3 linked regions of the Oryza sativa Japonica Group genome follow. The protein of the gene in region 3 binds, or shares a complex with, the protein of the main gene of each other region. Links are inferred from orthologs where the notes say so. Each region holds a gene or a part of one and is shown on either strand. Other genes may lie near its edges.

Region 1 (4,100 bases), on a different chromosome or scaffold from region 3:
CCAGGGGGAGGAACTCATGGAATTGCTTCTTCAACGGCACTGGCCTCATCACCATCACTGATCCCAGTAAGTATTAGCCTCTTCAAAGCTTGCTTCACTTGCTGTTTCTTTCACCTGAATCCTGCAAATTTACATGGCTTTCTTGCCAACCTTTGCAGGTTCTGGCAATTGCAAGTATGCCTGAGTTGAGAGTTTGCTCCAAGTTAGCCAGCCAATCTCTGGAGCTTGACAAATAAAGTTTTCAAGGGATGTTTTGTTTGTCCAAGTGCCCCTAGAAAATATGGTGTTCTATATTTCAGTGTCAGAGTTGCTAGAATTCAAGTCATGTTTAGCCTCAATGTTTGGGTAATCTTTAGAGAGGAATGCTTTATACCGAGATAATATTGTTCCATATCTTCAGTGCAGTTCTTCAAAGTTCAAAGAGTATGAATCCTAGGCATGTCTTAATTGTATTTGCATAGCACTATATGGTCCTGTGCTGCTGTGAACGAACAGTGGCCCAACTATAATAAATAAACATGAAGTTATGCTCAAATTATTTCAGATTAAACGAACCAGCTTGAAACTATTCAAGTTACTGTAAATTACAGTGCTAGGTTTAATTCCTAATCCAACAAGTACTACTGGAATATTGTTGAGCATCAGCTAACTTGATACTAAAACTGAGTCTACATGTAGCATCGGCAGCTGGCATTCACATCTCCACCTTCATCTGTTCATGACTCCAAAATGGGTTCCGTTACCTGATATGACAGGAAAGCAAACATAAGTCATTTTAGTGATACTACGATCATACGTAACAACACTGTGTTGGAATTTTCTGATCAACAGAAAGACAAGCCCCCAGAGGGTTTTATGAAAGCATCTTGCGAGGGATTAATATAACAGGTCAACATCCACCATAATTATGTTTTGTTCAGGCCATCATCGTACATAAACTACATAAACCAATAATTGATCATGGACATGATGCCAACAGCCATCTAGTAAATGGTGCATGTAGAATATTGTACTGCAAAAAGCACCATAAGAACAAAATTGTTATCAGTATCCTGACTTCCTGATAATACAGTGTACCAAGTTTGGGAAGTCAAGCGGATTATACAGCTGGTCACAAAATAATCCCATATCATAAGCGCAAGCATAATTTTTTGCAAGCACAAAAAAAGCTAAAGATTTATTGAGATAGTGAAGGGAGAAATCCAAACTTACATTGATAACTATTACTCTGGCTTCTTCAAGTTTATACAATGATCTGTAGCTTCATTAAAAAGAGCCTCAACTTGCTTCAGCTCCAGCTCTACAAAAGCAACAAGACATGTAAAACACTGGACTTGTAAATAATCAGTTGTAACATGGTGAGGAATTATATAATGAAGGCAAAATATTCCAAGAATGTAATAGCAAAGCATACCAGCAGCTTCCAGTTGTTTCTGAAGCTCTGTGCCTACAACTTCATTCTCTGCCTGCGCATTTCAAATTCATAAGCATTTTAGCTGCAGGACACAAGTATCATGAATACTGATACTATGGCAGGACATGCTGCCGAGCGTCTGCTAAACCTTCATTCAGAAGAAAGCAAGCGACTAAGGAGGACAACCTTAGTATGAAACTCCATCCACAAGGCGTAGGAAAAAAAAAACAGAAGGAAACATGCACAAAGATACCATCTTCACAAGACACTAGCTTAATGTCACCCTTTCACAATGTACTGCTCAGAGGGCAAAACTGAGACATACCTGTAGCTCTTTAATTCTTTTCAGCTGATCCTCTTCAGATGATAGTGGCAACGCAGAAACAAGAGCATCAAACTGCATAAAAAAACCAAAAAAAAAAGAGAACGGTATTGGAAACAGTAGCTAGTAGCACATTTCAAGTGTACTCTCAGATGCAAAGTTTGCCCTCTGGAGACAGAGGTTGGTGTGCTGCATACCATCATCCCACCTACATTTTGCGAGGAACAGTACAAAGATTGGTGTGATCCACATCATCGTCAACCCTTCTTTGCGAGGAATAATATGAGTGAAGCTCCTATTTTGCAGATCCATTCAAAATTATCTCGAGAGGGCTAAAAAACAGCACAATGCAACTAAAGTACTCTACCACACTACATGAACAATCTCACTATAGAAGATATGATTCTGTAAGTAGAAGAATTTTCAAAGAACCAGGCACCCTGACCGTGGTTGCAATCACACAAAAATGCTAAGGCTGGTCACACCAAAAATTACAGTCCAAGCCCTAAAGCGTCAGACCCCAAGAACCAGCAGGCACTCAGGCATTTCATCGAGCAGGTGGCAAGCAGAGAAGATAAGCGACGGAAGACGCGTACCTTCTTGGCGGCGAGGACGAGCGCGTGGCTCATGGCCTTGGGATGCTCGGCGAGGTCGAGCGCGGGCGGCTGGGCCTGCGCCGGCGGAGCCTGTGCCTGCGCAGCCGGAGCTCCCGCCGCCGCCGCCGCCGCCGCTCCAGGCTGCGGCTGGGCGGGGTCGTCGGGGTTAGGGTTTGCTGCTGCGGCGGCGGCGGGGTTGAGCGGGTCCGGGTAGTTGTTGGAGAGGCGGACCGGCGGCGCGTCCCGCTGCAGCGTCCCGAAGGTGTTCACCGCCACCATCGCCATCTCGTTCAGCTGCTCCTGCAGCTGCGAGATGATGTCCATCTCCGGCGATCTCGTCCCCCTCCTCGCCGCCGGCGACCTCCTCCTCCTCCTCTTCTCCCTCTCCTTCTCTCTCCTCCTCCTCTCTATCCACCAAGGCCCAATTACATCTAGGCCCATCAAAGAAAACTGGTGGGCCCAGCACATCGACAGTGCGCAAGCCACTCTCTGACTGGCACGTGGGCCCATGGCTAGCTTGATTACGAAGGAACCAAGGGACCCCACGCGGAAAATTGCATCACATCACCACCACGCGTCCAGATCTGATCCACACACAAATGGATCGGACGGCCCAGGATTAAACCAAACTATTACTAACAATTAACTCACCCGATTAGTTAACACTAATTGAATCGGACTTGGACTCTAATCTAGACTAATATAAAAAGCACGAGTTGTTTAGTGTAATTAACACCATGATTGCAATTAGCGCCGGATTAATCCTGCGGTTACAATTAGCACCGGATTAACACCGCGTCTTGCTCCGAAAAAAGAAACTGCACGCCAAAAAGAACGAAAAAAAGAACGCACGCCAGCCACGCCGCCCGCCTCACCTGCCGCCCGCGTGACTTCCCACCTCGCCTCACCCGACCATGCCAGGCCTCGCCGCCGCCGACAATGTGACTTCCCACCTCGCCTCACCCGACCATGCCGGGCCTCGCCGCCGCCGCCGACCATGAGCCTCACCCGCCGCCCGCGTGACTTCCCACCTTGCCTCACCCGACCATGCCGGGCCTCGCCGCCGCCGACCATGAGCGAACTCCACGAGCAGCGCCAGCGACCGACCCACGCTGCCCGGATCGGAGGCGAAGGACAACAGCCCGGGGCCGCCTTCATCGACGCCGTGCGCGCCCAGTCGATCCACGGGAGCGCGGCCGCGGCCGCAGAGGCGGCGGGGGAGCGGTAGGTGATGACGTGGACGCGGCTCCTCGTGCTACCGGCGAGCGGGACAGGAGGAGGAGGAGGAGCGCGAGGGCGGACGCGGCGGCCGCGGCCACGGAGGGAGCCTATCATGGAGGAAATGGTCTGAGGAGGAGGAGGAGCTAGGGTTGTCGCAGCCTCTTCAATGGTGATCTCCTGCAGGAGGCGAACGGGAGCAAGTATCAGCAGCAGAAGCTGGGTGGTGTGCCCTCGTCGCAGCCGCATCATCTGAATGTGAGTGACTCCACAAGAACGAGAACCCTGAATTGAATCTGACATTTACCATTGTTCTTGCATCATTCATCCAGTGGTAACGTTTTACATGTCTTGGATTGTTGGATGACATTGATTTCAACACTGGAAAATTGTTGTTTTTTGCTTCGGGACAGCAGCAAGTTACCCCAGCATTGACAGCCTGCAGATCGACCACAAGCCGGCGACTGCGGCGGGACGCCAGTTCGGCTCGGCCTCCTCTCCTCCTCCTCCGCCGCCGCCGCCTCCGAACCATCCCCAACGTCATCCCCTC
Region 2 (3,500 bases), on a different chromosome or scaffold from region 3:
AAAGGTCATAAAAAAACTCTTTCCACAATTACATTTAAAACATCCCAATTTCATGATGTTTGCTAATCAGCTCAGGTGCCTTCTAGAACGCTCACATAAAAAAAACTCAGTGATCTGTTTATGCATAATAGAATTGTTCCTCACACCAAGAGATGATTGTTTGTGCTTAAAATGCAGCTATGGAAATGGAACCATGTTCTCTTCTCGACTAGTTATTCAATTGCTGTGTCCTTTCTCCTACGCAGTGCAATTATCTACTCTGGAATTGTGCAGTTATTTCAGTTATAATGATTCTCTTCCAACATTTAGGAAAGACCAGAAACAGTTCAATTTCATTATTTCAATATTGTTTACTAAGAGATCTGGCAGATCAAAATTTGTTTACTGAAAAAAAAAAGGGGAAGAAACAATCGAAGCATCCTTACTAAATGAATTGGATTATGAATTACGAATCATTGCTCAACTGCATCGTATAATGTAACATTTAACGACTGTAAATGTTTACTGCAAAATGGAATGAGGGGAGGGGGGCATTTGACGGCGCATTACCTCGAACACATGATGTGCATCCAGAGACGAAGCTCCACTCCCAGCAGCGAGATCCCAAAGGCAAATCTTCTTATCATACGAGCCGCTCAGCAGCAACCCCTCCTTCATCGGACTCCACGCCAGCCCATACCCCTCCGCTTCATGCCCCCTGAGCACCACATCGGCGCCGCCCTTCTCGCCGCCGTCGCCAAGATGGTACACGTGCACCTCATCCACGCAGGTCTTGGTAGCCACCGTGTACGGCCTCTGCGGCATGCAGCGGGCGCGGTTGACCTCGCCCTTGTGCGGCACCGAGCGGGAGATGGACACGGACGGGGCCGGGACGGCACCGCCCGCCGCCGCGGCCGCCGCCGCCAGGCGGGGCGGGAGCGGGAGGGCGGCGTCGGCGAGTAGGAGGTGGTTGGGCGTCTCGTCGGAGGTGTGGGTGCCGAGGACGAGGCGGTGGGAGCGGGCGGAGCCCGGCGACCGGGAGTGGGAGGGGAGCCACTGGACGGTGAGCGACGGCCACTCGAGCGGCTGGGAGATGACGAGGTCGTAGAGCACCGGCGCGTTCTTCTTCCAGTTCTGGTGCTCCTCCATCTCCGCCGCCGACGACCTCGCCGCCGTGGAGGACCCGCCGTCCATGGCTCTTCTCTTGCGAATTGCGCGGGAAGTGGAGGCGGCGCTGTGGTGCTCTCCCGCCAAAAAGATTGGGGAGACGATGCGGCGGAGTCAGAAGAGATGGTGTTTTATGGCCGAGTTAATGGGCTTTTATGGGCCGTAAAGCCCATATAATACAATTTGGAGGCCCATTAGCCCATTAAGAGGAAATTTTGTCTAGTAGCTTCTGCCTCGCGTCCGTCTCCTGCATCCGCAGTCGCCGCCGCCGCCGCCGCGATGATGCAGTCGCACCACCCCTCGCCGGCGCGGCTGGGGCTGACGGCCTCGTCGCCGTCGCTCCCGCCCAACCCGGCTGCGGGGAATCCCACCTCCTCGCCGCCGCAGGGCAACCCTAGCGCGGCGGCGGCCGTGGGCGCTGCCGCTGCCGCTGCACCAACCCTAACTACATCGCCGTCGCTGCTGCCGCTCCTGCCGCCGCTCCCGCGGGCGCAGGCGCTCCTCCAGCTGATCTCCGCGCTCGCCTCCAACCTCTTCGAGCTCTCGCCGAGCCGCGCCGCGTGGATCTCGGCGTACCGGGGGTCACTCCCCACTTTCCTCCCCTCGCCGTCCTCCGCGCCGCCGCCGCCGCTCCCGGCCCCGATCTCCTCCACCAAGGAGGCGCTGTCGCTGCTCAACACGCTCCAGACCCAGCTCTTCGAGGCCGTCGCCGAGCTGCAGGAGACCCTCGACCTGCAGGACGCGCGCGCGCGCCTCGCCCGCGAGGCGCGCGCCAAGGACGCCTCGATCCTCGCCTTCGCCAAGAAGCTCCGCGAGGCGCACCACGTGCTCGACCGCCTCGTCGACGACTACGCCGACTACCGCCGCGACCCCAAGCGCCCGCGCGGCGCCGCGGCGGCGGACGACCCCGAGCCGGTGTCAGACGGCGACTTTGGCGCGTCGCTGCACTCCAAGCTCAACCTGGACGACGTCCTGACGTACGCCCACCGCATAAGCTACACGACCTTCGCGCCGCCTGAGCATGGTGCTGGGCTGCCTCTGCGTGGGGCGTTGCCGCCTGCTCCTCAGGAAAATGAGATGAGGATGTCGCAGCTGTATCAATTTGCGGATTTGGATGTTGGAGTGCCGAAATCCCAGGAAGCAAAGGAGAGGACTGCAGCAGAGGGAGATGCCACTCCGCTTTTTCAGCCTTCACCAACCCAGGAGGCAGCTGTGCTACCAATCACTGTGCCGCATCCGCATGGGTGGCGGAACGGGGCGCTGCCTCTCGAAATCCCGTTGCCGCCGCCTGGATGGAAACCCGGGGACCCGATCACTCTACCGCCGGATGGCATTCTGGCTGGTGTCAAGGGTGAGGAGCCACGGGCCAGTGTGCAACAGATGCCGGTTGTGGTGCCAGCAATGGTGCCGAAGGCACAAGAACCGATACAGGTTCGGCATGTTGATCTTGACATTAACAATAGTTCTAGCAGTGATGAGTACAGTAGCGACGTCGGGAGCTCTGAAGAAGATGATGAGGATTAGTTCCTTGGTAAGCTATTTTATGATTCATGTTTCCATGCCGTTGTAGGTCATGTACTAGTAAGAACAAATAATGCAAGCTCTCATACATGATTATTCAAGATCATGCAGCAATATACTGGTATTGAATAGAATTGGGTGGCGTATCATGTATGTGTTGATTAATTAAACCATCTCACTAGTCAATTTGCTTCGATATATGTAATCAAGCATGATGGTCTAATTTCCTCAGGATGTGCTGGTGTTGTATCGTCAGAAACATGGCTTCTTTTATGGATATTTAAACTTGAACATGGTGTGTTTAATGTTTGATGCCCTTCTTCACAGATTACAGGTTTCAGTCATAATTGCTTGCTAGGCTTGCTAGCTGGTTATGGGCTTTTCAATCAAGTAATGACTTCCATGTTCATGCACTCTGCTTAATTTTTCTCATTGTTTTACCTTATGTCTGTACCTCTTATTGCTGCAATATAGTTTGAAAACCTTTATACCATTGTACCAAAGAGTGGTAGCTGAAAACTCAAGAATGTTCTATAACTCAAGCTATATAAGTTATGAGAAGGGAGTGGTTTCAACTTGTAAGTTTGCACTTAAATGAACACACCATTTTTCCTATCTTATTGCACAGCATGGGGGATCTTCCTACTACAAACATGATACTAGTACTATAGGTCTTAGTTTTCATTCACGAGCTTATCTTGCAGATGATAAAGTAGTAATTGACTCAAATGGGTTAGAACTGCCAAAGCATCATCAGAAGTAACTCCTTTTATAATTTTATTGGTGCATATCGCATCTTTATGTACTTTTTTTTCCCAATTCAAGAGCTGCAT
Region 3 (4,185 bases):
GACGATAGGGATGCCACTGAGCATCTGACGAAGGTGACTCTTCCCAATTCCCATTCCACCCCCTTCCTGGGATCAGGAGAGGACACCGACCACCGCTCTTCGGTACGGTGGAGCAAACGAAGTGTCGTCTAAGAGGTGGCTAGAGACGGGCGGGAGACGTTGGACTCCAGCAATCGAGGACACACATGTCGACATTTCCTATCTCTGGAGAAGCTTCATCAAGATCGAGCTCGCTTGCCTCATTGGATTTGCCTCGTTGCCCTCACCAAGAACGGTAGCGGAACAAGGTTGCCACGCCCACCAAGGATAGGGGGCATGTGCTCGCCATTGCCTACAGCTTGAGTCTGTCATTAAGGTCAACGACATGGACGACGTGCTCCAGCGAGCCATCGAGGATGACCTCCCCCTCGGTGGCAATGATGACTACAAGAGCTCGTCGACATCTACCCCTTGTCCTCCGACGGGTGGTGGCTATCCCTTGGCCATGCAGAGATATGCACGTGACCCTCCTCTCTCTCTCCCTCACTATTGCCATGTATGGCTCCACAACATATAAAGGAGAAGGACTCTTAGATCTCGATGACAGCGAGGTCAATCACCATCCTTGTCCATTGCTAGGCCTTATTAACCGAGGCGTTGATAGAGGTGAAGGTGGGAAAAGGACGTCGGATTAGAGGAGGCGACAGAGAGAAGGGGAAGTGGCTTGAGGCTCGGATCTGTGAAGGAGAAACACTGATGGGACCCGGCTTTGTCCAGATCAGTGAGGGGCCTCGGTGTGGCAACCGTTGGAGCCCACAATGAAGAGGACATCTACGGCAGCACTGGGCCTCTCCGACTCTCCATCACCGCTGTGGCCCTTCCCTCCTTTGCTCCACAAGGTTGCCAACAGAACCAAGCTTAGTTGGTTGTGTCGGTGGTGGCTTTGTCGTCTAAGTCACTGACACTATTCATGCTTGAGCTCGTCACCGCGTGGAGAAAGGAGAGGGAAGAAAAGAAAAAACAAAAGCATGAGGAGAAAGAGAAGGGGACGACATGTGGGTCCCACATGCTGACTTAATCGGTTAGACCAGTTCAATGAGCCACGTTAACGAAAACCACCCTCAAAATAACTAAAAAGAGTTTTTTTATTCACCGGTGTTAATAGCCGAGGGTTCGATATACACGGTTTGCGATTAAGGGAGAACGAATCAGATTGGACCTATAGTCGAGGGAGACAAATTGGACTTATTCCGCTCAAATACTAGGGCCCTGATAAGGCCAGGCCTGGGCTTCGAGCTTCGGCCCAAAATCAACATATCCTTTGGGCTTTTGGACTATGTTGGGCTCTGAAGCTAAGCTTAGTTCACTTCACAGCCAGCGCCGACGAGAGGAGGAGCAGATCGGCTAGGGTTCCGGCGATGGCCTCCTCGGCGGCGGCGCGGCGGCGGCAGGAGATGGCGGCGGAGGGGCAGCGCCACCTGGAGGAGACCATCGCCGCCGCGTTCCAGATCCTCTCCTCCATGAACGACGAGCTCTGCAACCCCACGCTCTGGTCCTCCTCCTCCGCCGCCGCCGCCGCGGCGGGCGGCGCCGGCGGACTCCAGCACCACGGCAACAACCACCACCACCACCACCAGCACCACCACCACCACGGCGGTCTCCCTCCGCCGCCGCCGCCGCTGCACTCCGCGGACTCCGACGCCGCCGACGCCGCCGGGGGAGGGCCCGGGGGCGCGCCGGGCTCCGGCGGGTCGCTCGACGAGGCCAGGCACCGGTACAAGGTCGCCATGGCGGCGCTCCGCACGTCCATCGCCGCCGTGTCGTCCTGTGCTCAGGTCAGCACACGAATTTACCCGACATTGCATGCTCCCGTAGTATGTATGCAACCACGAAATGCGTGTTTCTAGTGATCGTCTAGTGGAAATTGTGAAACGTATTGCACTCTTTGTTGATATCAAGTTAGGTGCTTATACATAGGTAAGGGAGCCAAATAATTTTTGCAAAAGAAAATTTCTTATTATTGATACCAATGTAAGGGAATGTAAGGGATGTTGTGATGTAGGTTCGGACTACATGGATGTGGACTATATATATGTTTCAATCAACATGAGCTTTTAGTGTTCAATGTTCATGAGACAAAAATAGTAGTTTTATATGATTCTATTTTTAGCAGTAAGTGTAATCCTGATGTGCAAAATATGGTGCTATGGAGAAACCTCATAACAGTTTACTTCTTTGTAATGATGTTGTGGTTTTCTTCGTAGGAGATGGGATCGACAGAACACAAAGCTGATCAAGCTGAGATTGAGAGATTGGAAGAACATGCATCTGCTTTGAGAAAGGTACTATCTTGGGAATGTTCTAGCAATATAATCAATATCATTTTGCTGTATTCAGAATTTTTCCCTGAACCAGTTGGTAACTGGTGCTTATTTAGCCATGTCAATCCCAAATATTTCCCAAACAACCTGTTTTGAACATAATGTGTGTGTGTGTGTGTGTGTGTATATATATATATATATATATATATATATATATATATATATATATATATATATATATATATATATATATATATATATATATATATATATATATATATATATATATATATATATATATATATATATATATATATATATATATATATGTTCCTTTTATGCTTCAATCATTTTAATTCAAAAAGTCCTGAGAAGAGTGTAATCCCCAATTTTTACCTGAAACCATTTTAGATAGCCAGGATCTAGTTTGGCAAGCTGTGATACTGTGTTGCTTGTAGTGTTTTGGATAGTCATGTTCATTCTGTTGAACTCGTCAAAAAAGCGTTCCATCTTGATCTTTCCTGGCAATATTCATGCTTGTTAAGTTGTTATCTTATCATTGTTTTTTCTGCACTGGATACTGCATGTCATTATTGTTTGCATACTTGGATTTGCCTGCTAGTTTAGAACTTACTCCCTCCGTCCCAAAATAAATAAACATAGTATGGAATGTGACACACCCTAATACTAGGAATCTGGATAGGGGTCTGTTACTAGGTTTGTTATTTTGGGACAGAGGGAGTAAGTTTTTGCAAATCCACCTTTGATGCTAATTGGATTCTGGACTATTTAGCAAATCCTTTTCATCCTTTGGAGGGCTGTTGGCTGTAATGGCCTTGTAAGTCTCAACTACTCCTTATCTATGCTAGATCATTATAGCATAAATACAGATTATTCTCCTTGATGTGTATAAATGTGTATAGAAAAATGGATTTGTGGCTTATTCAGTTCCATTTGTATGATTTATTGAGATCAGTGATTTTCATGTACTCCTATGTTTGAAGTGTAGCAAACCATAGTTATTAAGACCGGACCGGTGATCGAACTGTTAGGGTACTCGGTTCACTGGTTTATTGGTCGGACCAGTCAAACCGCCGGTTTAAAGCGGTTCAAATAGATGTGTGTTAGAATACTAGAACAACATGTGACATAGCCGGCTGAGACTCTCCGTGGAAGCAAGGAGGTCTTGGTTCGATCTTCAGTTCAGCAGGTTTTTTCCTATTTTCTCTAACTCCACGTGACACCCTCCAGCAGTCGAACCACCTTCGGTTTTTGTCTGGTTCTGCAGAAAACCGCCCGGTTCAATGGGTTTTTGCCGGTCTGTTTGCTCAACGATCTTTTAGCTGGACTGGACCAGCCAACGCCCTGGTTCCCTTTTTTTCTGATCGGACCACTGGTCTGGTCTAGTTCTAATAACTATGTAGCAAACAGTGTTCTCTAATGCCTCGATTACATAGTTTGTTCCTAAAAAGTTCAAAGCATTTCATTTTAAACATACACTGGTCAGTACAATCTCAATTAGCTGATCCCATGTGTCCTAGTTCAGATTTCTATATATGCCCGTGGTATCATGGTCTGTGGAAGTTTTGAGTCCTCACGCTTTTGACATATATAATACATTTTTTGTTTCAACCTAGTAATGTGGCATACTGTTCTCTGGTACCGTAAACCAGTCTAATACAGGATGTTTACTGCAGGAAATTGAAAGCAAAAACAAGCATGTAAAGCTCCTTATCGACCAACTCCATGATTTAATATCGGACATATCAATGTGGCAGAGTCCTTGCTCAGTGTGAAAACTCATCGGCATTTATCCTTTAGGAATCCAAAAATCATAGCTAGAAGTATGTTAATGCAAAATTGTATCAGCTGACCTTGAGAGAGA

What was found.
Region 1: mediator of RNA polymerase II transcription subunit 30 (region 3) and mediator of RNA polymerase II transcription subunit 21 share a complex: the UniProt entries of both Arabidopsis thaliana proteins name them as parts of the mediator complex. The link is inferred for Oryza sativa Japonica Group from reciprocal best matches to the Arabidopsis thaliana genes AT5G63480 and MED21.
Region 2: mediator of RNA polymerase II transcription subunit 30 (region 3) and mediator of RNA polymerase II transcription subunit 4 share a complex: the UniProt entries of both Arabidopsis thaliana proteins name them as parts of the mediator complex. The link is inferred for Oryza sativa Japonica Group from reciprocal best matches to the Arabidopsis thaliana genes AT5G63480 and AT5G02850.

The regions. Positions count from the first base shown.
Region 1 is NC_089042.1:2,024,999-2,029,098, forward strand, and holds mediator of RNA polymerase II transcription subunit 21, read right to left. Parts: upstream 2,772-4,100; 5' UTR 2,657-2,771; coding exon 2,333-2,656; intron 2,032-2,332; exon of another isoform or gene 1,949-2,031; intron 1,812-1,948; coding exon 1,740-1,811; intron 1,467-1,739; coding exon 1,415-1,466; intron 1,301-1,414; coding exon 1,224-1,300; 3' UTR 1,213-1,223; intron 744-1,212; 3' UTR 510-743; downstream 1-509. Other genes in the region: major pollen allergen Ole e 10, read left to right, coding at 1-66, 159-184. UniProt on the Arabidopsis thaliana protein: Component of the Mediator complex, a coactivator involved in the regulated transcription of nearly all RNA polymerase II-dependent genes.
Region 2 is NC_089043.1:25,716,274-25,719,773, reverse strand, and holds mediator of RNA polymerase II transcription subunit 4, read left to right. Parts: upstream 1-1,350; 5' UTR 1,351-1,425; coding exon 1,426-2,670; 3' UTR 2,671-2,991; downstream 2,992-3,500. Other genes in the region: histone-binding protein MSI1 homolog, read right to left, coding at 550-1,173. UniProt on the Arabidopsis thaliana protein: Component of the Mediator complex, a coactivator involved in the regulated transcription of nearly all RNA polymerase II-dependent genes.
Region 3 is NC_089038.1:19,469,256-19,473,440, reverse strand, and holds the start of mediator of RNA polymerase II transcription subunit 30, read left to right. Parts: upstream 1-1,327; 5' UTR 1,328-1,397; coding exon 1,398-1,814; intron 1,815-2,243; coding exon 2,244-2,321; intron 2,322-3,997; coding exon 3,998-4,096; 3' UTR 4,097-4,185. UniProt on the Arabidopsis thaliana protein: Component of the Mediator complex, a coactivator involved in the regulated transcription of nearly all RNA polymerase II-dependent genes.